Pelodiscus sinensis: one gene and its partner. The protein of the gene in region 1 interacts with the protein of each later gene in a pairwise test. Links are inferred from orthologs where the notes say so. Each region holds a gene or a part of one and is shown in the gene's direction. Other genes may lie near its edges.

Region 1 (15,213 bases):
CATGTCAGTGAAAGATTGGAGGTTTTTTTTTAATTGTTTGGTTGTTTCTCATTTGTGTGGCCCCCAGCTGATTTTTCTGTGGGTCAGCAGCCCGTGACTCTAAAAGGGTTCCCTTCCCTTGCCCTAGACCCTGCTGCCAAGAAATGTAGCAAATGTAGCTAAGGTGATTAGAGATACCATAGTACAGTGCTCACCAACCAGGAGATCAGGATCTACTGGTAGATCTTGGAGCCTCAGACAGGTGATCCTGACAGGTTTGGACAAGAGGCTATCAAGTGCTGGCATTTCAACTGCCCTTTGCCTTGGAGCTGCCTCCCGCCATCGCAGGGAGCCTCCTGCTTTCTGTGCAGGGCAGGGGAGGGAGAAGAGGAGCACTGATGTCAAGGTGCCCCCCTCCCACCCTGTATCCTGTCTCCACAGAGCAGAGAGGGGGGGACAACAGGGCTTGGGATGGAGTTTGCTGACTACTTTAGGGAGTGGTGCAGGGCCAGGGCAGCCCCACTGCACCACAACCCAGAAGCAGCCTGAGGTAAGCAGTGCTCAGTTGGAGCCCACATCCTGAAACCCTACCCCAATCATGAACCTTCTCCTACATCCCAAGCCCCTGCCCTAGCCCTGAGCACCCCTGCATCCAAACACCCTCCCAAAGCCTGCATCTAGAACCCCCTCCAACACCTCATCGGCTTGCCCCAAGCTCAGCTCAGAGCCTCTCCCACTCTCCAAATCCCTTAATCCATTACCAGAGCCTGCACCCCAACCCTCTGCTCCAACCTGGTGAAAGGGAGGGAGGATGGGGGAGGAAAGGAGGATGCAGTGAGCAGGGGTGAGGCCTTAGAAAGGAGGCACAAAGGAAGCGGGGCAACGGTATTTGGGTTTGAGGTAGATCTTAGATTGCACTTAAATTCAAAAAGTGATCTCATGCTTTAAAAGGTTGGAGACCACTGCCATAGTACATCCTGCTATGGTACCATGACTGTAAATTAAAGCTGACTTCCCAAGCAGAATAGTCAGGTGTGGCGAAATACCACTCATGTTTCCCAGAGTGGAAACTGGACTCAGTGTCTCTAATGGGAAAGTTTCTGATAAAAATTTTGGTGGTAATAAACAATTTTTATACTTACAAGAAAATCAAAATGTTTACTGTCAATGATTGCTAAAATGCTACATACTGCCTAAAAATTTTACACTTATTGTGGAGAGCAAATTTTAAAATCAGAAGTGTGAGTATTCATATTGGTAGCTTGATTCTAAAAGTCACACTTATCCAACTGGGGAGCAGAATCATACCGCAGGTGTAAACAGGCAAATTGGGGAACTGAGCCCAGAAGGAAGCAGTAGCTACACAGCATATTCCCACTTCCAATGGATTTCTCAGAAGCTCAAACCTACCTGAGGAAATAACAATACTCACATTGTGACTGCATTGCACTTCATTTTTTGATCATTAGAGCATTTAAAACATTGTAGTCTTATGCACACCATGGTAAACAGAGAGCATAAAAAAACCTTGACTAGAAACATGTAATAAATCACTTCAAAGTTAATTCTTTCCAGTGCAGGTGATAAGTTTATATTTTAACCATCAGTGAGGAAAATAAATCAGATCCATAAGGAATAATTACATTGCACATACCTGTGTGTGTTTTAACTGATTTGGCCTCAGATGGGAAGGGGAAAAATAAAATAGTATATTTATAACACTGTGTCAACAAAATTACTACACAATATCCTTGAACAGATCAGGCCTAAGCAACATCAGAATCACAGTTTCAAGAGCTGGATGAGGAGCTTACTCTACACCATTAATGTTAATTTTCAGTCAATTTGGAAGCACTGGGGAAGTTCCAGAAGACTGAATGAAAACTAATGTGGTACCAGTTAGTAAAAAGGGTAAAGAGGTTTACCTTGGTTAGCAACTATATTACCTTGTCAGTCTGACATCGATCCCAGGCAAGATAAGGCAGCAGCTGATCTGGGACCCGATTAAGAATTAAAGAAGGAGAATGCAGTTAATGCTAATTATAATTAATATTGGTTTATGGAAAATAGATCCTGTAAAAACTAACTTGATGTCTTTTGTGATATTAGAAGTTTGGTTGATAGAGGTAAGGATTGATATAATACACTTAGATATCTGTAAAGCATTTGACTTGGTACTAAACAACATATTGATTATAAAATCCTGGGAAGCAGTGTCCAGCATACAGCAGCTCCCACTGAGCCTTTTATTTTTAAATGAAAACTTAGTTTCTGAATCTACCCTGTGACCACATAAATATATGAAGTGACGGGTATTTGGCTCATGGATTGCATATTTGACACCACTGTTTTAGTAAGTCTTTAGATAAGCAATAGTACTTGCATTGCAGACTGTCCAGGGCAGGACACTTTTATCTAAACAAGTACCATTTGTCATAACATGGTAGCCTGAAGAATTATTTGACCATTGTGTCCTCAGCACACTCCAGATGAATATACAAGAGAGGTAGTGAAAATCAACAGGTTCACGAACTTACATGATGTAAGGTATCCAAACTGTTTATCTGACAGTTGGTGTTATTCATGGAAGTAGCTTTTCCAGATCCACTGCTGAGATTAGAAACGTTCAGATGTACATTTTCTGTGTTTTTATTGAATTACACTACTCCTTACGGAATTTAATTTCCTTTGAGGTTTATTTGCTGAAGCAGGATGTATAAGGAAAATAGCAGCAGCTTGCTAAATCAAAAGATCAAGCTGTCCTATTTAACTTATTTCAGTGATGGAAATTCTGATCAGAATGACTTTAAATAAAGTTATCCTGATATAGATGAAAGCTAGAAACAGATTTTGCACTGAAGACACACCTATTTTACAACTGCTAAATAAAAATGTTTGATAATAAAACACTGACTATATAGGAGTGCAGAGAGAGGTATGTGGAAATAGCCTAAATTCATTGCTGGTTTAACTCCAGTAAATGGTTTTACTCAAGAAATTAACTGAGCCCACCATAACTGTGCCAAAAGTTGGTTATTGCCCCCGTAGTGAAATAAAACTAGTGAGTACACAATGAAGACCAATGTGACCAAACTGAGTTCACTCTTTGTGAGACACAAGGATAGACTAGAATGATTGCAAAAGAAGGGAAGTATACTTCATTCTTCGAGCAAAGCGCAAAAGAGAATGTTGTGCAAGCACTGCATGTTTCTTTTTAATTATGGACTTCCATGCAAAATACAAAGAGCATTGTTCAGGGATAGAACACATGAGCTAGGGAAATTCCAGTTTCTCCAAGTTTTATCTGGGATATTGTTTTGTTCTGAAAGTGAGATGTTTTTTGAAACAACAGTGATTATCTGAGGATTAATATACCCACCTATATTTAAAAATATTAGATTGTGACTTGCAAGGTTGGTTAAAAGCAGATAAGCAGCTTTACAGATGCAATACAAATACTGTGTCACTAAACTTACTTTTATTATGGTAAATATAATTATATTCATTTAGCCTTACAAAAATGGTCATTGAAAAGAAGGCAAAAAGCAGAAAACTAAATGAGGAAATAATTTATCAGATTTCAGCATGGCCAAAGGCTAGCAGGGGGGAGGAGGAGGGTGTCCCAAGGTTCCATACTAGGACCAAGTTTGCTTAACACATTAATAAGCTTGAAAAAGGAGTGACCAGTGAGAAAGACAACTCAAAAAATATGAACTATTACCAGAAGAGGACAAATTTACAAGCAACAGGATTTTAAAATAGCTACCGAAGGAAGCACTAGTAGCTGCTGTCATATCCCTGAATAATAAGCATTGGTGTCCTCCTCTTATATAAACAAAGGAAGGTCAGATCTTGTCTCTACATGGCCAGGAGACCCTCAAGAAGAGCTCAAATCCTCTGGAGGTGGAAAGGGTCTTGGAATCTCTTTGGAGTAAATCCTCCAGGCCTGCTTCTCCTCTATTCCAAATCTGCCTTATCAACAGCCCACCAGAATTCTGTGCTGAACAGGGCTTGATATGCACTGTTGTGTGATAAACTCCTCAGCTCCTAACTTTCTCTACTGTACTAGATGAACTGCACTGATTCTGCTACAAGAGGACTCTCTGAATCTGCAGAGGAAGAGGCAGAATTGGAATGCAAACAAATAACATTTCAAAGTTTGTTTCTCTGAGAGGAAAAACACTCCCATTTTTCTTTCAAGCTCACTCCTGTGTTGCGAGTGGTGAAAAATGATAGTTCTCTTTTTCGGACTTGGCTTAATACATTACCACTGCCCAGCCCTGCAATACCTGCTCAAAAAAAAACTTAAGAAATTTTCATCAGCAAATGATGAGCAGTAGCAAATGCTGAATAGGGCCAAATCATGTGCATCTTCTGGAGTACCTTGAGGATTTCCCTGACTGTCAAGATTCCCTGTAGCAGAGGATTTCATCCACTTTGCTGCATCACCCAGGCTTGGGCCTGGCCTATTTAGCAGGTTATTCTCTATGCTGTAGTTTGCATCAAAATTCTCACTGCCCTTACTCTGCTACACAACTCATCATGAAGAGAGATCTTAAGCTAATTCTGATAGTGTTATTTGTGTGTGTGTTATCTGAATTTGTTCATGAAAATACTGAGCAGCTTTTGATAGCTACAGGGAGGTATGTTGTAAATTCTCTATAATGAATACTTGTAGACATGAATGTTTGCGCATACTTTTACCAGAAGAGCAAGTCTGCACCTGCACCATTTAGGTTGTTTTACTTTAGATTTGTGCCACTTGCTGAGTCTTTTATTCTTAGGAAGATTCTCTGTGAATGTTACATAGATTGGAAGAGTTTACAGAGGATCATTAGTGTGGCTTTAAAGGAGTGAAACTGGAGGGTGATAAACAACTGCAGGGAGGTTTTTTTTTTCAGTTTCAAAGCAACATTGCAGTGGGTTCAAGTTGAAGCAGTGTATCTCTGTGATGTCCCCTTACAGTAGTCTCCTTTATTACAAAGTACATCAAAAGGGAATATCTGAAACAAGAGAGGGGACATCTCAGGTTTCTCTGTGTGCAGGATGAAGCAATTGTGTTGCCTTCTTTAGTAGGAAGGAAAAACCAAGCACATTGTAACCTTGCAACATTGATTCCTGACAATATATTTTGGAGACCTGTTGTAAGTTAGTGGGTTTAGAGGAGAAGTCAGGTCATTGATTTCACAGTTCATTTTTAATAATCACATGTTGCCATGCCCCCTGTTTTATGTTTTGACTGAAATATGGCAGCACCAGATGCCCTTATCATATTTGGCATTATTTCATTACTACTCAGTGAATCACCAAAACCACTTCCTGCAGCAGATTTACCTGTAAATCTCTTACCCAATTACTGACCAAACCCAGCCCTGCCTAGCTGTATGAAATCATAGCCTGAGGTTGTGTGACTGCATGCATAAACAGTGCACATCTGTCATTTCAACTCAGATGTACTAATCTGCTTGCCTTCTTCACAGTTAGCGCCTACTTTCCAAGTCCTTTATATTTGCTTCTCTCTTGCACAGGAAAACGTGTATTTTCATAGGTCTCATACTAACACATCCATTCCTTTCTTGTAGCTCTCCTGATCTATGATTTAAAAAAAGCGGGGGACACATTACTCAAGGGTGGTTAAAAGGAGAGAGTAATTTTCTCTTCACTATCCACTATATTTCTAATAGCTATGATTAAAAAGGGGATCTACAGCAGTATAAATAAATAGTGGGGTTAGATCCCATCACAAACAAATCCACATCTGTTTCTAACTTAGGCCAGTATCTTTGTCCAGAAAGAATAGGATGATTTTTTTCAAACCAAGATACCTAATGTAAGGCCACTAAGTAAAAGTTAAATGAGCCTAAGTATGTGTTAACAGCCTAAATGTAGGTACCAAAGTACCAGATGGTTTCAACAAAAATACTGGACACACTTGACATTACATCACAATCTACATTACATCTTATTTAGAAAATACCGGACATTTATATTTTCTCATTTATATTTTCTCAATTTGTTTCCTGAACAGAAAGCTCAAATACTGGACTGTCCAGTTCAAAACCGGACACCTGGCAACCCTGTACCAAAAGTATATTTTTAAGGGTGCTGAGGCTCTCAATTCCCATTGATTTCTATGGAAGTTGAGGGTGGTCATCATCTCTGAATATCATGCCACCAGATTTGAAAATTCTGGCTCATATGCTTACTGGGAAGAACATACAGGTTTATAAGGAAGGACAACATTTTATTGAGAACTCCTGGTTCCCGCATGCATGCAGCTTGAACAAATATGACAAACTTGGGGCAGTTCCCCAAATATCCTGGTGGCTGGCAGCAAGAGCCACAGTAGCTCTGTTTGAATCTGTACCCTCTATATGGGAGGAAGATTGTCTCTGGCAAGTACGGAGGTTCTATATAATTATGGACACACTACCCATATCTGTCACTTCCCGACTTGCCTCACCTCCAAAACCCACCAGCACTGAAGCATAAGAAACCTGGCAGACCGATTTCACCAGATTTCCATGTGCAGGCCCTGAACATCCACTCTCCTCCCTCTCCTCCCCTGCATCACATTTGCAAAGAACAGTTTAGAATCCTTGAAGGGGTCTAGAGTAAAGTAGGATTTGGCCTTGATGTTTTGTTTGCTTGTGGTAAAGATTTACTGTCATCTAATTATAATACACCTATGTTATTTATTTAAAATAAATGGTTTTCTTCCCTGTTTTTCTCTGTATTGATGCCAATAAAAGGCAAACCTTTTACACTAGTGCATCTTCTACATATGTAGTGAAAGATAATTGAGAATAAGATCTTGCTGTAGGTGACATGGATATATCATACCCCCAGCCCTTGATAAATTATTTTGCTGGAGGCTACATCATTCTATTAAAGTAGTATGATGAGAGTTGATTGAAGCGTGAATAATTTACCATCTATAAAGCCTAACTGAACTGAGTTGAGCTACAGCATGTTGGGCTAGCCTTTGATGCAGACTGGTTGGACAGGTTCCTGGTCTGCTGAGGAACCGGTTTGACAGGCCTATTATGCCAACAAATTCTGGTATGATTCCATGTTCTACAGAATGTAGAAACCTGCCCAGCCAGTTAAATGAAAGACATATTAGGTTATCCATTGCACATTGTATGTATCTTAGGTACAGCAGATCTCTTCTCAGCATTCCCTAGTGTGGTCCACAGTCTGATATTTATGCCTGAGATTTATAACTTGAGGAAAAGTCAGCAGGAAATATTCAGCATTCCCAATCAAGAACAGAACTTTTCACACTTAAAAAAAGGTGAGTTTTAAAAGTCTTTTTAAAATGTTGAACTTGGGTAAGAAACCCAATTTAGAAAATCAATGTTACCACATTTAACTTAAAGATGTAGAGTTGCTGTTTCTTTTAATGCATCTAAATACCACTAACTCCAGCTTCGGTGGTTGTTGGTGACAACATTTTTGTATGTATAACTTTTGACACTTCTCTATGTAGCTGAACATCAGCTGTTCTGCCTATATAATATTTAATAGAGAGTGTCATCTATTAGACTAAATGCAGGAGTGGGAGACAAGTACTCCCTGAATCCCTATCGAGGTTCTGCAATTTACTTGGTGGGGGACTTGGAAAAGTCACTTATTTCTCTGTGTTAGTTTTCTTATTTGTAAAATGTGGTGATAATATCTAACTGTACTTTGCCACAATGGCCCTGTGCTATACAAGCACACAGGGTTGATACTGTTATATTGCTTCTTAGACCAACTTTAAAACTTTCCAGTTTTATGGAATAAGTTAATTCAAAAAGCTTGAGTTAGAATAACCATAACTGACTTAGTGGTCAACGTTAAGAAGCCTGCTGTTTCTTATATGTAAGACACTTACTTATTACACATCACAACATATTTAAAGTAATTCACAGTTGCAATATAAATAAAGCCCAAGTCAGAACTCCAGATTCATACAGCCCTGAAAATTGTGAGTGTCTGGAATCTGAGTATATTCACAGGTTGTGTCACATAAGAAGAATAAAAACAGTATAGAAAACAAAGGCTTATGGAATCTGGTCACTGATTAACTGCTGGCGCTCAGAAGTACTTAGCTGAATAGAAAGGAATGAAGACAGGTTTTGTCATGCCTGTTAGGACAAATAAGTCTTAAGCTGAAGTAAATGTGAATCTTCCTATCATCTATGTAACTTTACTTTTGAAAACAATCCTAAAACCACTTCCCTGTCCCTGGGAAGCTTATTTGAGTGTATCTTTAGAGAAATAACTACAGGTCTTACATGAGATCTAGTGAAACTTTTGTACCTAGTGGACTCTGTTTTGGAGCAGTTTATGGGAATGAGCTATACAGAGAATAGGAGAATTGAAAATAATCTCACAACAGGAATTCTCATCCTAGCGAATGTTTACTACATTGGAACTCCAGGTTGATATAAAAGTGAACAGTTATCTTTATTACTCTGTGATAGAATGTCAGTAAATAGGTGTCCTGAACATCACAAAAAATGCTGTGAATGGCAGGATGACCTGACCTTCTCGTTGGCAGCACCATGTCTTCTTGATAAAACAAGATGTTTTCTCCAAAGTGCGGGGAAAATGGAACAGCAAAAGGAAACGCTTCTCAGTCTCCTGGAGTGTAAGAATACTGTTTAGAAAAATTTATTCATTTTTAGAGGCTAAAAAATCTGTAAGTGTCCTTGCTGCTGAAAAAATTGTAAAAACATTAAGGGAATCTGTATATTAAGAATATTTTTCCAAAAATATAAATATTATGCCTATAGGCTACGTCTACATTGGCATGATTTTGCACAAGAACTCTTCTGTGGAAGTGTTCTTGTGCAAAAACTCTTCCAGAAGAGTGTCTACACTGGCATGTGCCTTTGCACAAGAGATGTGCTTTTGCGCAAGAACATCCATGCCAGTGTAGATGCTCTCTTGCGCAAGAAAGCTCCGATGGCCATTTTAATCATAGGGCTTTCTTGCACAAGAAATTCATGTTACCTGTCTAAACTGGCCTCTTACGCAAGAACAGTTGCGCAAGAGGGCTTATTCCTGAGCGGGAGCATCATAGTTCTTGCGCAAGAAGCACTGATTTCATACATTAGAATGTCAGTGTTCTTGCGCAAGAACTCGCGGCCAGTGTAGACAGTGTAGGCACTACAAAATCTTGCCAATGTAGACACAGCCATAGTGTTGGGTGGTAAGTTCACAAAGCACTTTTTCCGGAAAAGCATCCATGGCCAATGTAGACGAGCTTTTCCGGAAAAAAAGTCCCGATCGTCATTTTCGCAATCGGGGTTTTTTTGCGGAAAAGACTACTGTGCTGTCTACACTGGCCCTTTTCCGGAACAGTTTTTCCGGAAAAGGACTTTTGCCCAAACGGGAGCAGCATAGTTTTTCCGGAAATACACTGACAATTTTACAGTAGATCGTCGTCATTGCTTTTCCGGAAAAGCAAGTGGCCCGGTGTAGACACAGCCCTCTAGTTTATGGCAATTGCATGGCATTATTTTCTAGTAGACACATCATAGTGATGAGTGCTGTATAGATAAATCAGTGGTTTTCTTGTTCCACTTTAGGTAAGTAAGGGTATGTCTGCACTACAAAGAAGATTGAAGCTGCCACTGTTTATCTTTCAGGGTTCAAATTAGCTAGTCTAGTGAAGACATGCTAATTTGAACTGAGAGGAGCACTCCGGTCAATGTGGGTAGTCCTGCTTCCACAAGGATTAAGGGAAGTTGAAGGGAGAGTGTTCTCCCTTTCACTTCCTGCAGTGTGGACAGCTCCAATAGTCGAGTTAAGGTACTTTGAATTCAACTACGCAATTAACGAAGATGAAGTTGCACACCGTAATTCAACCTTATCCCATAGTACAGAGTAGGCATACCCTAAACTTGCAAAGTGCAGAGCACTGTTTGTGTAGTACTGAGCATGCTCAACTTCCATCGCAGTCAGAACCTAGCCTTCAACTCTTTAAATTCCCTATCTGTTAAATAACAGTGGTAAAACTTTGCAAGGTTGTTCTAAGGTGTAATTAATTAATTAATATCTCCCAAGCATTTTCAGATCCTTAGATGTCAACCACAATAGAAGTTCAAAGTATTATTATTGTGTTCTCCTCACAGCCGTGTATTACTTGTATATGCCTGCAGCACTGTTATATTGAAATGGCTATCATCAAGCAGAGTTCACACTGTAATATACTCTATAGTTTTGAGGGGGTTACCTTATAGACTATAAATTACGCCAGTAGCCCTTCATTTTCCAAAGTTAGAGCACTAGAACACAGTACAGTTTAAAAATTCCAATTAAATAAATCAGACTTTCAAATGATACTTTCCCACTCATTCAGAGTGCCTTTTTTTGGTTTGAGGGTTTTTTTGGACAGGTGAAAGGGAATGTTCCCTGTAAGCTGAGTGCTTGGGAGGCCACCCAGGAGAGAGTCAGGTGCCACCCAGCTGATTAGTAGAGCATCCATAGTCAGCAGCATGTGTTTCTATTTGTGGTGCACATCATGCCTCAGTGCACCTTACAAAATGTATTCTGCACGTGGATGGAAAAATTAGAGGGAATATTGGTGTGAGAGTGATGGAAAGGTAAGTATTATATAGTGGAGTAGGTTTTCCTGTTAAAGTTCTAACATCTTAATAAAGGATGAGAGTAAATGTTTATGATTTTGCAAAGCTGGGGTAAATCAAATCTGCCATTAGAACAACTGCACAGTAACATATTTTGCACTTTTGATTCTTCTCTCTGGTCTGTGTCTGATGTTAACATACACTATTATTACCAAAATCTGTCACTCTTCTACTTAGTCTTTGGATGAGGCATGCTTGCCAAATATTCCAAGTTAAGCTCCAATGGTAAGACAGAGGAATAATAATTGTGTAATCAATGAAGAGGATCAAACTGGTAAGGAAAAATGGGGATACGATAATGTAAATGGTTAACCAGTGAGCCTGGGCTTATTGGTAAACCTTCATGGTTACTTGCAGCTTTGCCTATTCCCCGTTGCCTCTATATCAGAGACAGCAGAGTGGGGGTTGAGCAGACAGTGTTGTCACCACTGGCTCCCACTTGCCACTCCACCCCAATGCAGCAGCACTCGGGGAATGGGAGCAGGCAGTGCTGCAGGAACCAGGACTTGCAGAGAGCCAGCTTAAAAGCTGCCTCCCCTCCACTTTACATGTAAACACATTTTAAAATCCCTACTCCTGGCAGCAGCTTTCACCTCTCACACTGATGGAGTAATTATGCTGATGAGACAGTCTCTCCCGTTCGTATAATGCATCTCCACCAACAGCATTATAGCATGGTAGTATTAACTTGCCCTTTGCTTTAAAAGTAATTATGGATCTGGTCCATCTAGCAAGTATAGTTATTCCTACCTTAAGTAATCACATTGAAATCACTGTAATAAGTGCTACACTTGGCATTGAGTATGTTCAGGTCTGGGTACTACATAACTGTAGGCTGATGATGCTACCTATCAGTGTTGGTAATGTAGGGCACATCTAAACTACATTCCTCTTTCGAAAGAGAAATGTAAATGAAGCCAATCAAAAACTCAAATGAAGCGTGGATTTACAAATCTTGTACTTCATTTGCATAATCGTGTGAGCATTTTTTCAAAAAAGGGTTTTTCAAAAAAGAAACTGCAGTGTAGATGGAGTTTTGGGGGGGAAAAAAACTTTTTCGAAAGAACCTGTACTCCTGAAAAAATGAATACAGGTTCTTTCAAAAAAGGGTTTTTATTTTTCCCCAAAAGAATCCCATCTAGACTGTGGTTTCTTTCTTGAAAAACTCTTTTTCGAAGAAGCACTCTCACGCGATTATGCAAATTAAGCACGAGATTTGTAAGTCCTCACTTCATTTGAATTTTCGATCGGCTTCATTTACATTCCTTTTGAAAGAGGAATGTAGTTTAGATGTGCCCGTAAAGTCCTATGACTTATGTTCATTAAACTGGCATGATATAACTCATTCCTAAGGCATGTGGACAGGGAGGGAACACCCATCCAGCATTTTCTCTGTCCATGTTTGTCCACTGTGCTAGAAAGAAAAATTGAAAAACTGATGCTGACTTGTCTTCAAAAGTGCTTGGAAAAACCCTGGAATAGAATCAAATGATGGTGGTGGAATCACTCCTTCCACCAGGAGCAACTGCTGTCAGTACCAGAGAGCTGGAAACAAGAACTCTATCTATCTGCTGCTTAACAGAGGAAATTGAGTGGCTCAGCGATTGCCAGTTTCTAGTCTGCTTGGTCAAATGCCATCTGCTGTTTCCATCACTTGATGGTTTGGTGATCTCAGTCCAATGCCCTGTGGAAAAAGACTAGCTACAAAAGCACCAATAGAACTGAGATTAATGGACATCCTTATGGACTGTCTTAATAGAAAGACCAAAGTATTAATTGGCCTGGAAAATGAATTACATATTTACCTTGGAGGTGGATCCTCCAGGTCAGGGAGGTCAAAACACACTGGAAGTGCAGTGGGAAGAAATGTACTTAACTTATGTGGATAAATAGAGTATTTCATTTGCTAGAGTGGTTGAGCCAGTGGCTTTTATGAGCACTAACATGCATACACACCTTTTAAAGTCAAAAGAAAGCATTTTAAAGGGCAAAATAAAATTCAAATGTGGATTTTTCCAGTTACTTAAGATATGTAATTCAAAGTTGTTAATTTTTCCATGTAAATTTAAGTTAATAAAAGCAAGGAATTCTGAGTTACCTGCCATAGCTGTACTGCACCCTCACCTTATCTATAGGTCCACGTAATGTTCTAAGAATGCCTACTAAACATTCATGCAGCACCTAAGCTACTGGTGCAATAACAGGCTTTTCATTATATTAGTGCTTCTAGGACCAATGAAAGAATAGTATTTCAACTAATAGCTTGACAAAATTGTTGGTAAATCCACCCAGTAACAAGGATACTAATATCTACTGTATATTTGAGAGACTATGTCTATGGGTATTTCTACACTAGCCCCCTAGTTCGATCTAGGGAGGCTAATGAAAGTGACCAAAATTGCAAATGAAGCACGGGATTTAAATATCCCGAGCTTCATTAGCATGTCCCCGGCCGGTCGCCATTTTAGAAATTGACTAGCCCGAAGAAACTGCCCGTGTCTACACGTGGCAGTGAAATGGGATTCCGAATTAAAGCCCTAAATCGAATTAGCTGTTATTCCTCCTGGAATGAAGTTTAACAGCTAATTCGATTTAGGGCTTTAATTCGGAATCCCATTTCACTGCCCCGTGTAGACACAGGCAGTTACTTCGGGCTAGTCAATTTCTAAAATGGCGACTGGCCGTGAACATGCTAATGAAGCGTGGGATATTTAAATCCCGTGCTTCATTTGCAATTTTGGTCGTTCTCATTAGCCTCCCTAGATTGAACTAGGGGGCTAGTGTAGACTTGCCCTGTGTGTCTGTTCAAAAACTGCTCCTAAATGTCTCAAAGGGGCAGCCGTGTTAGTCTGTAACTTTAAAAAAAAGAGTAGTCCTTTAGCTCCTTAGAGACTAACAAAAATATATATATGTATGACTCTGAGTATCATGAGCTTTTGTGGGCACAACCCTGAAGAAGTGCATTGTGCCCACAAAACTACGAAATTTTGGTATGTAGCTTCCTCTTATCATACCTTAAAGCAAGGTCAGAGTTTGCTTGCATCAAGAAAATGAGGGGTGCCTGGAATGGAACTGCTTCTCATAAAACCATACAGAAAAAGAGACAGAATCACTAGGCAGGTGAAATGGGCTGCCAGGGGGAGGGTGCCTCTCCCCAGTCTGGGACAACCCAAACCCTAAGCCTCTCCCCACCAGCTACCTTTTAGGGAGGGTGCTGAACCTCACCCTGCCCCGATTTGCATGGGAGTATTGCTGGCTGTTCCCGTTAGTCAGGAAGCAAGGGGAAAGTGCAGTTTTCTGCATTCCTCACTTTGGCTGGGGAGCACAGGGAACAGACAAACCTGAACCTGCCCAAGCCAGGGGACATGCACCCCTCCTCTAGCTGTGCCTGCTGGAGCTGCAGTAACCACAGAGAGGTGCTTCACACCTGGCCCCATGCTGCTGCAGTCAGAGAGAGCTGGGGTACTCCTCTTTCTCCTCTGGGCAGCTTGCATATTGAACTCCTCATCCCCAGCCCCACCTCAGAGGAACAATTCAAATGAAGCATGTACATTTTCATTTTCTTTTCCAAAAATCAAGTTAAGGACACCAGATAAATCTTCTAGTTAACCTATAACTGATAACTAACAGATCCATATTAACAGCAAGAGTAAACATCTTAGACCAGAGAGCACTCAACATTGGTATTTAACTAAATTCCACCTCCTGTTTCTGAGTTGTTTTTAGATAAGTATTCTAACACCAAGGTTAATGTGTCATGCAAAGGGTTCCTTTGTAATCTGGACATGGGCCATGAGTCCACAGAAACTTTTTAATCTGTTCAAGTGCAACAATGCTGGTCTGTTTTCCCACAGTTTTATTGTCTAGGTTTGCATATTTACTTGTGTTAGATGAATGATATGGCGTTCCAGTTAAACTAATTAATGTAAACTTCTAGTGTAAATTAATTTGGAATACCATGCTTTTCAGTAATGTAATTACTCAGGTACCTACTCAGTAAATTGTGGACAACTTTGTCACCATGGGTCAGATTTTTCTGCAGAAAATCGAATAAATGATTCATTAGTGGAAAGGTGATATGGGAGGGAAAATAATGTAATTTTCAAGCACTATTATACTTTAGTATCCGTTACTAAGAGTAACCCAAATTAAGTCAGTGCAGTTCAACTACCTTAAAAAACAGCAAGACTGCATCTAGACTGGCAAAGGAAAAACTTGCCAGCTGTCTATACTGGCCAGTTGAATTTCCGCAAGAACACTGACGATCTCATGTAAGATTGTCAGTGTTCTTGCGGAAATGCTATGCTGCTCCCGTTCGGGCAAAAGTGTAGACAATGCGGTATTGTTTTGCGCAAAAAAGCCCCGATTGCAAAAATGGCAATCGGGGCTTTCTTGCACAAAACCATGTCTAGATTGGCAAGGACACTTTTCCGCAAAAAGTTCTTTTGCGGAAAAGCGTCCGTGCCAATCTAGATGCTCTTTTCCGCAAATGCTTTTAACGGAAAAACTTTTCTGTTAAAAGCATTTGCAGAAAATCATGCCAGTCTAGACGTAGCCTAAGGGTACATCTAAACTACATGCTATTTTTGAAAGA
Region 2 (15,569 bases), on another chromosome or scaffold:
GGCGCAGCAGTCCCTGCAGGATCTCCCCCTCGATGGGGCAGCCGTTTGCGGAGCAGACAGACGCTAAGCAGCATGGCTTGGACTCATCCTGGTACCAGAATGTAAGAAATTCAGGCCTCAGACCCCATCAGCTCAGCCTTCCTAGCCTCGACAGGACTTGGGGCAGTGCAAATATAATGGGTTTAGGAAGAGACAGTCCAAGCCCAGCTGCTTCTGTCCTAAGGCTGCCTCTAAGCAACCATTCTGAGGGTCCCATCGAGGACAACGTACTTCTCACACGGTCGGATCCTTTCCCTGTGACCTTTCCTCCCAGCCTGGCACTCTGTCACCACAGGCTGCTGGGTCCTCTGCACGGTGCAGCAGGGTTATACCCACCAACTCTCCTCTCCCCGGTCCCCCTCCCCATCCCTCTTCAGGGACCCTGCCCACAAGATGCTCCTTCTACAGGAAGCCAAGCTCTTGCTCAGACCGGAGGCAATGGAGGAAGTTGCACAATGCTACTGGAACCAAGGGTTTATTACCACTACTTTCTAGTCCCCCCGGGTGAGAGGGGGGCTCCAGCCCATTTGGGACCTGCACAGGATGAACCGCTACCTGATGAGGCTGAGCTTCCATATGGTTTCCCTGACCTCTCGTTCCCTCCCTGGATCCGGGCGTTTTGTGCGCTGCCCTCGATCTCAAGGACATTTACTGCCACATTGCCGAGGGTCACAGTCGTTTCCTGCGTACCGTGGTGGGAGCGAATCGCTGCCAGTTTGCAGTCCTCCCACTTGGCCTTGCCACAGCCCCTCAGGTTTGCACCAAACACCTGTTGGTGGCGCCCACCTTCAGAGGCCAGGGCTGCAGATCTACCCTTACCTGGCCTATGGCTTCTCGATGGCAACTCCAGCGCCAAGCGCCTCCCCACTTCCTCCAAGTGGTAGCAGATGCTTTGGGCCTGGGCTGAAGCGCCCATCTCAGTGCTCTCCGGGCCGTTCGTAGGGCATGCAACATCTTCCTCCCTCACCTGGTGGGCAGGGTGTCCAAATCTTCATGGACAACGTGGCCATGATGTCAACCGCAGGGAGAAGGGGGGGGCCAGGCAGCCACACTCTGTCCAGAGGCGGTTTGCCCCTGGCAATTCTGCATCCAGCATGACATTCATCTGGAGGCCCGTCCCCTTCCGGGCGCAGGAAACCTCCTGGCCAATCAGCTGGGCAGGGAGTTTTCTCACCATGAGTGGGCTCTTCATCCGAAAGTCGTGGCCGTGCCCTGCCGCAAGTGGACCTCTTTGCAACAGGGCAGAACACAGTGTCACAGCTTCTGCCCGAGTGGTCGCAAGGTCCCTGGGAGCTGCCTTCCTCCTTCATGCCCACTCAGCCCCGCGGTTCCGGGCAAGGCCAAGCAAGAGCGCTCGCAGCGTGTTCTCGTCGCACCAGTGTGGCCTTGGCAGCAGGGAACTTGCCACCGGACTCCCAGGGAACCAATTCTCTGTGCTTTACGCTGTCGTTACCCAGCTGCTGTCGCACCTCGCAGCCAGGGGATGTTTCACCAAGCGCGTTTCCTTTGTTTTGTGACTAAAAATCACCATGCTCTGATCCTTGTGTCCTAGAAGGCAGGAGGGTCTCTGTGCACAGGCCTTAGCTGACCTTGCAGTCTTTGAAGACAATTACAGGTATTTTTCCAAGCTCTCTCCAGGGGATGATTAAAGAGCTTGAGGGTACCCAAAGGAGTCTTCCTGGGTTTTCAAAGGGGGAGGGGCTGGATTTAGATGGTGCCAACGATACCACCCAAGGCCAGGGAATCTGTGACCTTGGGGAATTTTTAAACAGCAGCCGTTAGCAGCAGGGTATATTAGTCTCTTGTCTATTTTCACACTCGACGTGCGAGGATGGGGAACAGCCCTGACACACGCCCACAGATAATCCTCTCTTTAAACTGGTCTTTTGTGTTTTTTTCTTTTAATGACAATTGCCAATTGCTCTGCAAAGTTTTCGGATGCTGCTGCACAGAGGCCTGTGCCCTAAATTGTCCAAGGGAACAGAAGTCCAGCTTGGATTTTTACATCAAATGGTTTAGAAAAGCTACAAATGGGAAACGACTGTTTTAGTCCAAACAGAAAGATCTCTACTGCTACCATCCAAGGACTGTGTTGAGATCATACGTGGGAAACAACCAAAACAGAACCAGAACTAAATGGACCAAAATGGATGTGATGGTAACTGATGGACAAAGCCCTGAGAGGATTCCACCTAACACACCCTTTTTGGGTCTTTAAAAAAAAGCGTTTGTGGGTGGATCCAAACACTGTGGACAGGGTGAACTGAAAGGACTTTACCAGCATGCCTGCCACTCCTCAGCCCACAGTGATGCAGTTGTCTCTTTGCCCTCCTGATTTTGAGAGCGGCCCTGATCGGACGGGCTAGAGATAGAAAACAGACACAAGAGTAGACTACATCTTATACCAGAACTTCTTGTGCATGTCAGTGAGGTACCCAATGGACAGTCAGTGCATGGCGGAGTCACCCCAGCTTGCGTTACACTGTTTGCACAGACAAGCCCAGAATGGTGTCAAACTGGGAAATCTCGATAAAATCTCTCTGTAGTGAAAGAGAAAGGGACTAAGGGTGTTGGTAAAACAAAAAGCCTTTTTTCATATTCTCCATTTTAAAATACGGTTTGTCCGTTTGCTGTATTTTTTTCAAGTTATACCCATTTTTAGTGGTGCTTATTGCTATAGACTAAGCAGGCCAAATGCTGTTCTCTGAACAACCAATGAGACGTGACTGTTCTGTGCTGAGACCATTTATTCCATTGAAATTATCACGACAGTTTGAAGAGAAGCAGCTCCTTGACTGAACTGATGCTGAAGGCGGCTGGAAATGGGCCCAGCTCCATTTCACTGATGTTGATGGTGACACAAAAATGTTTCACTTGCAGGATCATCAAACTGCCAACGCTCTGCTCTTCCGCTTCAGTGGGAAAGTTTCATTCAGCAGCAAGTTTGATTTTTATTTTTAAAAAATCTATTTCCTGCACCTTTTTATGTTAGAAAAATCATTTGATTTCATTGTTTCTGCCCAGGGCAGTAAGAGAGCCGTCGATTAGTCGACTACCCGATAAGCTTAAGCTTATCTGTAGTCGAGTCAACTACTCGCATCCCCCCCATAGCAGCGACAGCAGGGGGAGAGGAGCAGGGGAGGTTGCTCTGGCAGCAGCCCCTGTCTATGTGGAGTCCCAACTTCCCACGGGGAGCCCCACAGACAGGGGCTGCTACCGGCTGGGCAGTCCCGCATCGCACGGGACCAAACCCCGCGGCGGCTCTGCAATTTAAAAGGCAGTAGGGGTCAGGCAGCCTGCCTTCCGGCTCCTGCTGTGTTTTAAATTGCAAGGCCACAGCGGAGTTTGGTCGAAAAGGCACTGAGCTGGACTGCCTGCCCACCTGGCTCCTACTAAATTTAGGAGCCAAGTGGGTAGATAATCTGACTCAGTCCCTGCTCCCACCAGGGAGCCCGACCCCTACTGCCTTTTAAATTGCAAAGCCACAGCGGGGGTTGGTCCCGCGTGATGTGGACTGAGCAATGCTGCCTGCCCCTATCGAGTAATCAATTACTCAGTAAAAATTCTATCCACTACTCGATACTAAAATTACCTAAATTTAACATCCCTACTTCTGTCCATTCAACTCCCTTCAATTCCCAGCATGCTGAGTGGCATCCATTCATATTCACCTTTAACCCTCTTTTAAACTGCTGCTTGGCAGATCTGATAGCTTTCAGAACAGTGGGAATGAGAAAAACATTGCTGTAAACTCAACAATGTGAAGTGTGCAAATAAAATGCACTTGATATAGAACCACATTAGCAGATGCCGTGGTGGACCAGGCTCCAACGGCCCCTGCTGGAGGCTTATGGCCTTACCATACTCTGCCAAGCAAACCACAGAGAAGTCCTCCAGGAAAGATAGGGTGGCACAAAGGACCTGACCAATGAGGGCCCAGCAAGCCAATTAAAAGGAAGCTGTTGCACCAGAGCGAGGCAGTTCTCTGTGGAAGCTGGAGGCTCAGGCTTGGCTGGAGAGCTGGGTTGCAGGAGGGTGGCCACAGCAGGACATGCAGGTACTTGGCTGCGCATACGAGATGAGTGGCACCCCCATTACACCTTCCTGTCAGACATCTGGATTGCCAAATGGTTTCAGAAAAAATACTGAACAGAAAAAAAGGACCCCAAGAGTTGTTAAGAAAAAAAAAAAGAAAGAAACGTGTCGTGAGGCTTTTTGGCCCTACCAGGCTGCCGGCAGCCACCCGCCATCTTGCCTCCCTGTGTGGGGCTGGACAGCTCCTCTGCGGAACCTGGTAAGCACTAGGGTTGTCAGGCTGCCTCCGTATTGAGCCGGACAGCCAGGGATTTTTGCCTCCTGGCCGGGGGAAAAAAAACAGAAAGTCCTGGACATTTTAGGTGTCCGGTATTTTCTGAAGTTTTTTACCGTACAGGAGACAAAAGTACCAAACTGTCCGGTTCAATACCGGACACCTGGCAACCCTAGACATCTCTAGAGTCTAGAAAAGCAGCCCTTTAGTAGCTCACTTCTCCCCCCGCCTCACTAGCCAGGGATCACTGATCCCACATATTAAGACACCCCCCCTACACACGCAAGAGCTCCATCCAGTCTCCCTGCTCTTCAATGGGTGATGCTCACTAGTTCCACCTCACTGATAGGAGCTAGAACAGCTCTTCCCTGCCCTCCACAGGCAGGGAGCTGCTCCAGCCCACAGGGCCTACCACGGGCAGGGGGTGCTCTGATCAGCCAGCTGGATCAGCTCCTGTCTGTGGTGGGCCTGGCTTGGCTCCCTGCCACAGGCAGGGCATGCGCCAACCAGCTGGCTAGAGCGGCCCTTGTCTATGGCAGGGGGTGGCTCCAGCCCGGCTCCATTCTCCCCTCCCCCCGCCTATAGTTGGTTAACCGGTTAAACATAATGGTTGACGGGTTACCCAATTAAATGGGATTTTGCATCCCTAGTTTATGCATGGGGCCCTGTTTATTGCCCACCCGCTGAATTTTATGCAGAATTTGCTGACTTCTGTGTCTGTTTCCTGCCACAATCTCTGGCTGCTCTCGCTCCCTGGCATCCTAGGGATCCCAGTGGCGCTCCCAGCCCTGTTCCAAGGAGAATACAGTGGCAATAATGAAACATGCGTTAGTCACAGTGGTTTCAGTGAGGAGTGCTTTCACTCTGTCCCATACGTCCCTGAGCGCTGGGGGGCGAGCTGCAGCCAGCGCCAGCTTTCACTAGTAAGCCTTTTATACGCTCACCAACCGCACGCCAGCCTGGAGGAGTGTGTCTGTCTCCAGAGTGGGAGCCAAAATACTTCCCAGCTCCCCCCCCCCCTGGGGAGGGGCCAGTGCTGCCAGTGGGCAGAGGGTGCAGAGGGGAAGGTCCCAGGGCTACCCCTAGAACAGCTCCCTGTTGGAATGTGCGCCTGGAGGACACTGAGCATGCTCAGTAGCTCTGCTGAAGCCAGTGCCCTTTGCCCTGCTGGCTGCTTTTTACAGGTGGTTAAAAAGGGACAGAAATACCTGTCATGGATACCCAGACACAGGCTGATGAAGAAAGCCAGGAGGTGAGGGTCAATCCAGTGCCCGGTAGCAAGGAACTGTTCTCAAGTCTTGATGTTTGAGGATGCTCAGCAACTCTACAGGGTAGACACACCGCATACTGAAGCAAGAGCAAGCACACAGGATAAGTTAGCATACGGGCAGGGTTGGGCGCAGGGCAGGTGGCAGCCAGGGCGGCGTAGTAAATTACTCTATATAGTCAGGATGGGGGAGGCAGCAGTATAGGATGACCAGAGGCTGCCCTATTAAGAGCAGTTACAGACAGATACCTTGCATGTCATTGCTCCCTATAGGGCTGTGCCTACTGCTGGTAGCAAGGGCTTGGCATAGCATCTTCTCACAGCTGCACAGACCAGTAAGGGCTGTTAGTAGCACAGCTCTACAGGCTCAGTGACAGGCAGCCAGCATAGCTAGGGGTTGCACATAGCACAGACCTACAAGGAGGCAGGACAGGCAGCCAGCGAGTCTAGGGTACCGGTAGTCCTACAGATGCAAGGATAGGCAGCTGGCGTGTCTAGGGATACGGTAGCACAGACCTACAGGGTGCAGAGACAGGCAGACAGCGTGTCTAGGGGCTGCTGGCAGTGCAGCACTATAGATGCAGGGACAAGCAGCTGGGCTACGTCTACACTGGTACCCTTTTCCGGAAATGCTTAAAATGGAACAGTTTTCCGTTATAAGTATTTCCGGAAAAAGCACGTCCACATTGGCAGGATGCTTTTCCGGAAAAGCACTTTTTCCGGAAAAGCGTCCATGGCCAATGTAGATGCGCTTTTCCGGAAAAAAGCCCCGATTGTCATTTTCGCAATCGAGGCTTTTTTGTGGAAAAGACTACTGTGCTGTCTACCCTGGCCCTTTTCCGGAACAGTTTTTCCAGAAAAGGACTTTTGCCCGAACGGGAGCAGCATAGTTTTTCCAGAAAAACACTGACAATTTTACAGTAGATTGTCACTGCTTTTCCAGAAAAGCAAGCGGCCAGTGTAGATAGCTGGCAAGTTATTCCAGAAAAGCGGCTGCTGGTATTTAAGGGTACCAGCAGAACAGCCCTACTGGCAAAGGGACTGGTGGCTGGTGTGCCTAAGAGTACTGGTAACACAACCCTAAAGGCACAAGGACAGGCAGTCAGCATGTCTAGGGGTGCCAGTAGTGCAGCACTACAGCGTGCAGAGACAGTCAGCCAGCGTGTGTAGGGGCTGCTAGTGATAGTCCTACAGGGTGCAGACACAGGGCATGTCTAGGGGCTGCTGGTAGCACATCCCTACAGGGTGCAGGGACAGGCAGTGGTTCCCAATTTTATTTGGCCACAGAACCCTTTTAAACTCAAAAGAATTTTGCAGAACCCCTAATAAAAGTCTTATATAGAGAGATGAAAAATAAACCACAACTAAGTAAGGATAATAAACATGCTAATCAAAGGCATGAGATCAACACAAATGACAATTGTTTTCAATAAAATGCCTAAATATTAATTATTTTTTAAATGATAAAATGTTGCTGTGATGGAATTTTCTCACGAAACCCTGGGGATCTGCAGAACACCACTTGGGAAACACTGCGCTGAGCGTCGTTAGCACAGCCCTAGGCCAGGCACATGGAACTAGGGGTACCAGCAGCGCGGCGCGACAGGCGGCGGGACAGGCAGGGGGGCATGACAGGCGGCGGGAGGCGGAGGGACAGGCGGCGGGGCGCGACAGGCGGCGGGAGGCGGCGGGGCGCGACAGGCGGCGGGACAGGCGGCGGGGCGCGACAGGTGGAGGGAGGCGGAGGGACAGGCGGCGGGGCGGGGCGCGACAGGCGGCGGAGGGACAGGCGGCGGGGCGCGACAGGCGGCGGAGGGACAGGCGGCGGGGCGCGACGGGAGGCGGAGGGACAGGCGGCGGGGCGCGACAGGCGGCGGAGGGACAGGCGGCGGGGCGCGACAGGCGGAGGGACAGGCGGCGGGGCGCGACAGGCGGAGGGAGGCGGAGGGACAGGCGGCGGGGCGCGACAGGCGGCGGAGGGACAGGCGGCGGGGCGCGACAGGCGGCGGAGGGACAGGCGGCGGGGCGCGACGGGCGGCGGAGGGACAGGCGGCGGGGCGCGACAGGCGGCGGAGGGACAGGCGGCGGGGCGCGACAGGCGGAGGGAGGCGGAGGGACAGGCGGCGGGGCGCGACAGGCGGAGGGAGGCGGAGGGACAGGCGGCGGGGCGCGACAGGCGGAGGGACAGGCGGCGGGGCGCGACAGGCGGAGGGACAGGCGGCGGGGCGCGACAGGCGGCGGGAGGCGGAGGGACAGGCGGCGGGGCGCGACAGGCGGAGGGACAGGCGGCGGGGCACGACAGGCGGCGGGAGGCGGAGGGACAGGCGGCGGGGCGCGACAGGCGGCGGGAGGCGGAGGGACAGGCGGCGGGAGGGACAGGAGGCGGGGCGCGACAGGCGGCGGGAGGCGGAGGGACAGGCGGCGGGGCGCGACAGGCGGCGGGAGGCGGAGGGACAGGCGGCGGGAGGGACAGGAGGCGGGGCGCTACAGGCGGAGGGAGGCGGCGGGCAGCCCGGGCCGGCAGCCCCGCTCCTCAGGCCGGCGGGCGGGCGGTCGCTGCGGGCGGAGGGAGACGCGTAACGAGGCCCGGCGGTGAAGCGGTTTTGGCGCGCTGCGCGCAAGGGCTTGTGGGATTGGAGCCGCCGGGAGCCGCCATGGCCCGGGAGGAGGCCGCAGCCGCCATCGAGCGCCTCTGCCAGGAGCTCAACCTGGACGCGGCCAGCGCCGCCGGGGCGCTGCGGGACTTCCGGGCGCTGCGGGGCACGTACAGCCTGGAGGTGCGCGCCGGGGAGCGCGGGGGGCGGGGCTGGGGCGCGGGCCTGGCTCGGGTGCAGGGCCTCGCCCGCGGGGCCCGGTGCAGCCCGCACCCACAGCGGACCTCGGGGTCACCCAGCGTGACTGCCCCCCCCCCCCCCCGCGCTCAGCTATGCCCCGCCCCCGGGGCATGCCAGGCCCCACCCCCTAGGCTAAGCCCCGCCCTCTCCGCTAAGCGCCTCCCCCCCCCCCCCCGGGCCATGCCAGGCCCCCCCAGCTAAGCCCCTGGCATGAGGACTCCACACCCCCCTCCGCTTAGCTGTGCTTCGCCCCGAGCTAAGCCCCGGCATGGCAGCCCCTTGCCCCAGCCCTGCCAGCAGAGCCGGGCGGTGGAGCAGTGCAGTCAGCCCGAGACACCGAATGCAGAGCAGCCGTTCAGGGCTGCAGCCCACGTTCGATGCCTTGTTCTGGGACAAGCCTTGGAGCGGTTCAGGAGGTTTTGCACCTGAAATTCACACCCTACTTAACCCGAATTAACTTTAAAACGTCAACAGTCCTGAAGGGCTAGTGAGTCACTGTGCGTTTAAAGTCTTTTCACACTCGCTTTCCAAGTGGTACCTTTCTGGGATCCAACTGCGGCCCCTCCCAGCTCCCTTCATTTGTCATTGAGGTTTTGGGGAGCAGTTCATCCAGAGCATCTCACAACACTTTTTTGGTGGCCTCAGATTGCAGCCACCATCTCTTGCTCATAGAAACACTGACATTTTTTTCTAAAATACAGTGAAAGCTTTGTTATCCAGCACTCAGAGGAGCTGGGGGAAAATGCAGGACAATGTAGCACTTTAAAGACTAACAAGATGGTTTATTAGATGATGAGCTTTCGTGGGCCAGACCCACTTCCTCAGATCAAATAGTGGAAGAAAGTAGTCACAACCATAGATACAAATGGAGCTGGGGGTTACCTGTTAATTGAATGTGCCAAATACTCAGCTTATTGCTCCATTCCCACCCCATGCTGGCAGATCCAGCTGGAGGCAGGCTGAGGGAGAAGGAGATGCCTGCTGATGATGTCTGCCAGCAGGCAGTAGTCCTGCAACCGCCAGTTGGACTGGTGAGAGTTAGGTGTGAGCCAGCAGATGTGGCTGGGGCAATGCTGGTTAACACAATTTTCCAGTTAACAAAGTCCAGATAAGCTTTCACTGTACTTAATTAACTTTAGGAAAAACAAATATGCACATATACATGTCCAAATCACTAATTTATTTATGTAAGGTTTTTTCCCTCAGTCAATAATCAAATTAATGTACAGTTTTCTCCATTTTTCACTGGACGTAAACAGAATAGAAACAAAAATAAGATCCTTTGCATGTTTTTGTCTTTTGGTGTTTCTTTTGTTTTTTTTGTTTTAGATTTGTAAATTCTAGTAAGTCTTCTGTTCTTTTTATGTTTGTTAATATCATTTTCCACAGAATGACTCGCTTACAAGCTGGGAGGCAGTGGAAAATGATATTAAACATACAAAACCAATTTCGCAGCAGATTACTCAGGCCTAGCAGGTTGGGGGACACATTAAGCCCTGGATAGGGAGGTAGGTTGGAAGGCAGCAAGGACGAGGGGCAATTTGGTGGGGGTGAGGAGTTGGGGAGACAATGGGGGCCAGTATTGATTGGGGCATGGCAAGCCTGGAATCAATGCTGGAAGCCCAAGGTCAGAGCCAAAGCCCAGTGACCAGGGCCCAGAGCCAAATAGGTGCCAAAATAGGGGAATTTTCTCTGGCTTCCTGCTCCTACAGCATTTCTGACTCCAGAAGGGGACAGGTCTCATCCCCTGTTGGTGACCCTTGGAGATGGGCTGCTATTTCCTTCCCCCTCATATCACTACCTAGGAGCTTGTGGCCACAAGAAAAGCCCCTGGTGGCCACATGCAGCCACAGTGACAGCATTTGAGAAACACTGAATTAATCCCTTCTGAATTCACTTGTCTTCTGGAATGGTCAGTAAACACTTCTTCCCATGATGAAAAAGATATTTATATTTAAACAAACGCCTGTTTAAGAAATAGGAGGATTTGATCTGGCTCTTATTCTTTGTGGGAAAACCAAAGTGGGTATATGCGTCTGCTCTCACATGGTGCTAGGATGATCTTGATACTGAGGAAGTTGGCAAATGTCATTGTGGAGCCTTTGGCTATTATCTTTGAAAAGGCGTGGCGATCGGGAGAAATCCCGGATGACTGGAAAAAGGCAAATGTAGTGCCCATCTTCAAAAAAGGGAAGAAGGATGATCCAGGAAACTGTCAGTCTTACCTCGGTTCCTGGAAAAATCATGGAAGGGATCCTTAAGGAATCCATATTGAGGCACTTGGATGAGAGGAAAGTGATTAGGAATAGTCCGCATGGATTCACAAAGGGCAAGTCGTGCCTGACCAATCTGATTAGCTTCTATGATGAGGTAACTGGCTCGGTGGACATGGGGAAGTCAGTGGATGTTATATACCTTGACTTTAGCAAGGCTTTTGATACGGTCTCCCACAATATTCTTGCCAGCAAGTTAAGGGATTGTGGATTGGATAAATGGATGGTAAGATGGATAGAAAGATGGCTAGAAGGCCGGGCCCAGCGGGTAGTGATCAATGGCTCGATGTCAGGATGGCGGTCGGTTTCTAGCGGAGTGCCCCAAGGTTCGGTTCTAGGACCGGTTTTGTTTAATATCTTTATTAATGATCTGGATGAGGGGATGGATTGCACCCTCAGCAAGTTTGCGGATGACACTAAGCTGGGGGGAGAGGTAGATACGCTTAAGGGCAGAGATAGGGTACAGAATGACTTAGACAAATTGGAGGATTGGGCCACAAGAAATCTGATGAGGTTCAACAAGGACAAGTGTAGAGTCCTGCACTTGGGATGGATGAATCCCAAGCATAGTTACAAGCTGGGGACCAACTGGTTAAGTAGTAGTTCTGCAGAAAAGGACCTGGGGGTTACAGTGGATGAGAAGCTAGATATGAGTCAACAGTGTGCCCTTGTAGCCAAGAAGGCTAATGGCATATTAGGTTGCATTAAGAGGAGCATTGCCAGCAGATCCAGAGATGTCATCATTCCCCTTTATTCAGCTTTGGTGAGGCTGCATCTGGAGTATTGTGTCCAGTTCTGGGCCCCCCACTACAAAAAGGATGTGGACGCATTGGAGAGGGTCCAGCGGAGGGCAACCAAAATGATTCGGGGGCTGGAGCATATGACTTATGAGAGGCTGAGGGACTTGGGTCTGTTTAGTCTGCAGAAGCGAAGAGTGAGGGGGGATTTGAGAGCAGCCTTCAACTTCCTGAAAGGAGGTTCCAAAGAGGATGGAGAGAGACTGTTCTCAGTGGTGACAGATGGCAGAACAAGGAGCAATGGTCTCAAGTTGTGGTGGGAGAGGTCCAGGTTGGATATTAGGAAAAACTATTTCACTAGAAGGGTGGTGAAGCACTGGAATGGGTTACCTAGGGAAGTAGCGGAGTCTCCATCCCTAGAGGTGTTTAAGTCTCGGCTTGACAAAGCCCTGGCCGGGTTGATTTAGTTGGAATTGGTCCTGCCTAGAGCAGGGGGCTGGACTTGATGACCTTCTGAGGTCTCTTCCAGTTCTATGATTCTATGATCTTAAAGATCAGAGCAGTCGTGTCTTATTTTTTCAGTTTAAGTGTTAAAAGATGGCTGGAAGTCACAATTAGTATTTTGGGGCAGAGTTTTTATCTGTTTTTTTACCCTTTTCACCACTTATTTGTAGAGAGAACAGAAATCACATGCAAATACAGCTTACTGTAGCTTCTGGAGCAGGGAGTGGGAATTGCTAGAACATGCTAAGTACCCCCTAGATCTATCTGGCATATGATCTCTTGTTCCCTTGCATAAGTTAGAGCAGCAGCCAAGTTTGATCCAACCTAGTTTAGCGCAGAGAATCAGTAACTGATAGTTTGATGGAGCAGGAGTTATTTTGGCCATGCCTATACTACAAGCTTATATTGAGTCAAATTACATTAGCATATAGATGCAATTGTTAATACATTGCTTGTGTGTGTGCATACTTGGTTGCTTGTGCCAACAGTGCTCATACTCACCAGGAGTGCTTGTATCAATGCAGAGTGGAGTGCACTGTAAGTTGGTAATTCCACTGTATGACTCGCCTCCATCTAGTGCACTGTCTTGAGAAGTTTTGGCAATGCCTAATAGGGCTGAAAGGAGTCATGATATGATGATTGGGAGCATGGGTCCACTTTGTAGTCTGCAGCTGTCTTCATCTCCTGATGCTTATCGGTAGCCCATAATTTTTGCACCTGTATTTCAAAAGCCCACAAATCTATATGGTCCTTTTTGCTGTCATCTCTGACAGAACCATGGACACTGCATAGCTTTTCACTATTGTCATGAACATTACAAGCACAAGGTACAGAATTCTGGAGTATTTGCAGAGCTGCTTGAAAAAAACCAAGCAGTGGGGGACATGATTTTTTGGAGGACAGACCGCTGTGGGACTTCATGAGAACCAGTTCAGGGTTATTGGTGGCGTTCACAAAATAGCTGCTGATGGTGGAGTGCAGCTTCTAGCATAAGTAAATTAATTAAAAGTACAAAAGATTGGGTCCTGCTCCTTTTTTTTTTTTTTTTTTTTTTTTTTAAAGAGGACAACCCTATAATTGAAAATTTATGTGCACTCTTACCTGAGGTTCTTTCCCCTGCATTGAGCTTGCTCATACTGGACTGTGGCGAAGTCAAATACAGGCTGTCTTTGCTGTAAGTCCAAGGTACATTCCAAAAAAACTTGGACTTGTAGTGAAACAACTTAAAGTGGGGAATTTTTTTCCCACAGCTGACTTACATTTGCACAAATTTTTTTTGCACGACTTACCAGGGAATAGGAGGACTTATAATGCATCAGTTCCTACAAGCGCAAATGACTTCAGTGTGGAATGGATGAATCCCGGGATGACTCATAGTGAGGATGCCCTGTATACGTCCTGGCTCCCTGTGCAGCTGAATGCCCTGGTTCCCCCTCCCTCATCCTCCTCTTCATCCAGCACCACCTCCTTTTTGCTGTTCCTGTCAGGGGCTTGTGACTCAGGCTGCTGCCAGCATGCTGTTGGGGATGGTGGTGCAATCTTCCCTAAGGATGGCATGCAGCTCTTTGTAAAAGCAATAGGTCTGTGGCTTGGCACAAAATTGATTATTGACCCCTCTGGCCTTCTGGTATGCTGCTGCAGCTTCTTGGCACCCTTCTCCCAAATCTGAACAATCTGCTGGTAGAGGTCAGCATTTCTGTGGTTGGATCAGAGTTGTGTCTTGTGTCTCCTTGAGCCCAGGAACCCAATATATTCTGTCTGCTCTAGGCAGGAATGTGTAGATGGCATGGTTAAATAGGCAACACTCAACAGAAAGCTGCTAGGTGTGCTTGCCAAGCTAGGTAATCAGGAAACAGAATCCCCCAAATTTGCAGGGCTTTAAGGAGGAAAAGGGAGCTTTCAGTCTTTGTGACCCCTGGCAGTGGAGTTCACGATGATAACCACAGAAGTAAGTGTGGAGCATTGTTGGATGGTTGCTCAGGGACAGTTAGGGTTGACTCAACTAACACAGTGTCTGTACTCACACTGTGTTGACTGAAGAACATCACCTGTGACTTTATGTTTCTCAGGGAACTGGTGTTCCTATGTCTGCATAATAGCGTATTCACATGGAATAGGGATGAATTTAAGTGTAGATAAAAGCACAAGCAGGTTAATGTAAGCTTGTATGGACCTTATTTATAGTCTAGACCTGGCCTTTTTTGCGCAAACACTACTAGCTTTCTAAAATAGTTTCTGGTGTACTTTCTCTGGAGTCCAAGCAGTACTAGTTTAAATTCACACCTTAGGTTTAAAAAGTGTAACTTTCCCATGGAGGTGAGATTTACTGTATAAGCACCTCCATGGGAACCCCCGAAAGGGGAAGAAGAAAGCCCCTTAGGTCTGGAATGCCAGAGGTGAAGAAATCATCCTGTGTTTCTGGGATTTCTCCTTTTCCAGCCAGCAAAGACCTCTTGGAATCCAGACATCACCTCAGCAAGCTAATGCCTGCTTTGGACAGGTCTCTTGGCTTATCTTTACCAGCTATTACTTGTGGGACAGGCTAGAAGCATTGTTTGATACTCATCCTGATTTAAGCTTTGGGAAGCTTGTAGTTACTGAGTTTGAGGAGCTTGTCGAGATATAGTTTAAAGAGGGCTTTTTAAAAACTGATATTTTGACTTGCTTAATCTTTGTGTCCAAGCAATAAGATAAAGGCAAGGCTTAGACTTTAGAATGGTGATTCTTCTATTTTGAAAATATTTGCTTATGTACTTCAGAAATAACTTATAAAAGGCAGCTTTCAAAGGATTGTGTGTACTGATGTCTTCTGATAAGTCAGTGTAGAAGTTGACTCTAGGCATCTTAGTAGAAGAGGGTCTTGGAAAATCTGAAATGACTTTTACAAGTCTGGAGAGGTCATTTCAGTCGTAAGGAAACAAGGAAGAACTTCCATGTCAATGTGCCAGTAGGGGAATAAAATAGACAGGGCTGGCTTCACTGATGTTGCAGAAAAGATCATTTTTAGCTGCTTAGTGGCCAGATTGTGGTGTCATAGAGTTGTACAGTACATTTATTATCTTTAATACAGAGGAGTAGTCAGCAGAGACCTCAGGGTTCTGCAGTATGTGGTGGTTCAGTGTGAACTAGGGCAAAATTACTGGTATATTGCAGGCCTTGTAGTCTCAGTTTTTAGGGTAGCCCTCCACGCCTAGGAAGATGTGGTGTGATTTGATTTGGGCAGTTTTGATTTCTTTGCTCCAGCCAGGTTAAAAAACCAATCATCAAACCCTGAGGAAATGTTATTGTCCCAAAGGATTTTAGAGATACTTGAAGTAGAGGAAAAGCTGAGCCTGCCAATTGAGCGTTGTTGCACTAAAAAGGTTAGTTCATTGATTGTTTACTTCTGGTTTGACAGGGAGATGTGGTGCACTGGTTGGCTTGTGCTCTATATGTTGCTTGTCGTAAAAGCATAATTCCCACTGTTGGAAGTGGCCTTATGGAAGGAAACTGTGTTTCACTGACTAGGATACTACGTTCAGCCAAACTAAGGTAATCTTGGGTTTCATGTATTTACTTATTTTACTGGAGATGTAAACACCTGTGAGAAGTTACAGTGTCTTTTCC

Evidence for each region.
Region 2: the proteins of RBBP8 (region 1) and RBL1 interact in a two-hybrid assay, tested with the Homo sapiens proteins (2 studies listed by BioGRID and IntAct). The link is inferred for Pelodiscus sinensis from reciprocal best matches to the Homo sapiens genes RBBP8 and RBL1.

Annotation. Positions count from the first base shown.
Region 1 is NC_134712.1:78,289,546-78,304,758, reverse strand, and holds the start of RBBP8 (DNA endonuclease RBBP8), read left to right. Parts: upstream 1-7,086; 5' UTR 7,087-7,276; intron 7,277-15,213. UniProt on the Homo sapiens protein: Endonuclease that cooperates with the MRE11-RAD50-NBN (MRN) complex in DNA-end resection, the first step of double-strand break (DSB) repair through the homologous recombination (HR) pathway.
Region 2 is NC_134728.1:32,848,628-32,864,196, forward strand, and holds the start of RBL1 (retinoblastoma-like protein 1), read left to right. Parts: upstream 1-8,157; 5' UTR 8,158-8,269; coding exon 8,270-8,392; intron 8,393-15,358; exon of another isoform or gene 15,359-15,360; coding exon 15,361-15,494; intron 15,495-15,569. UniProt on the Homo sapiens protein: Key regulator of entry into cell division. Directly involved in heterochromatin formation by maintaining overall chromatin structure and, in particular, that of constitutive heterochromatin by stabilizing histone methylation.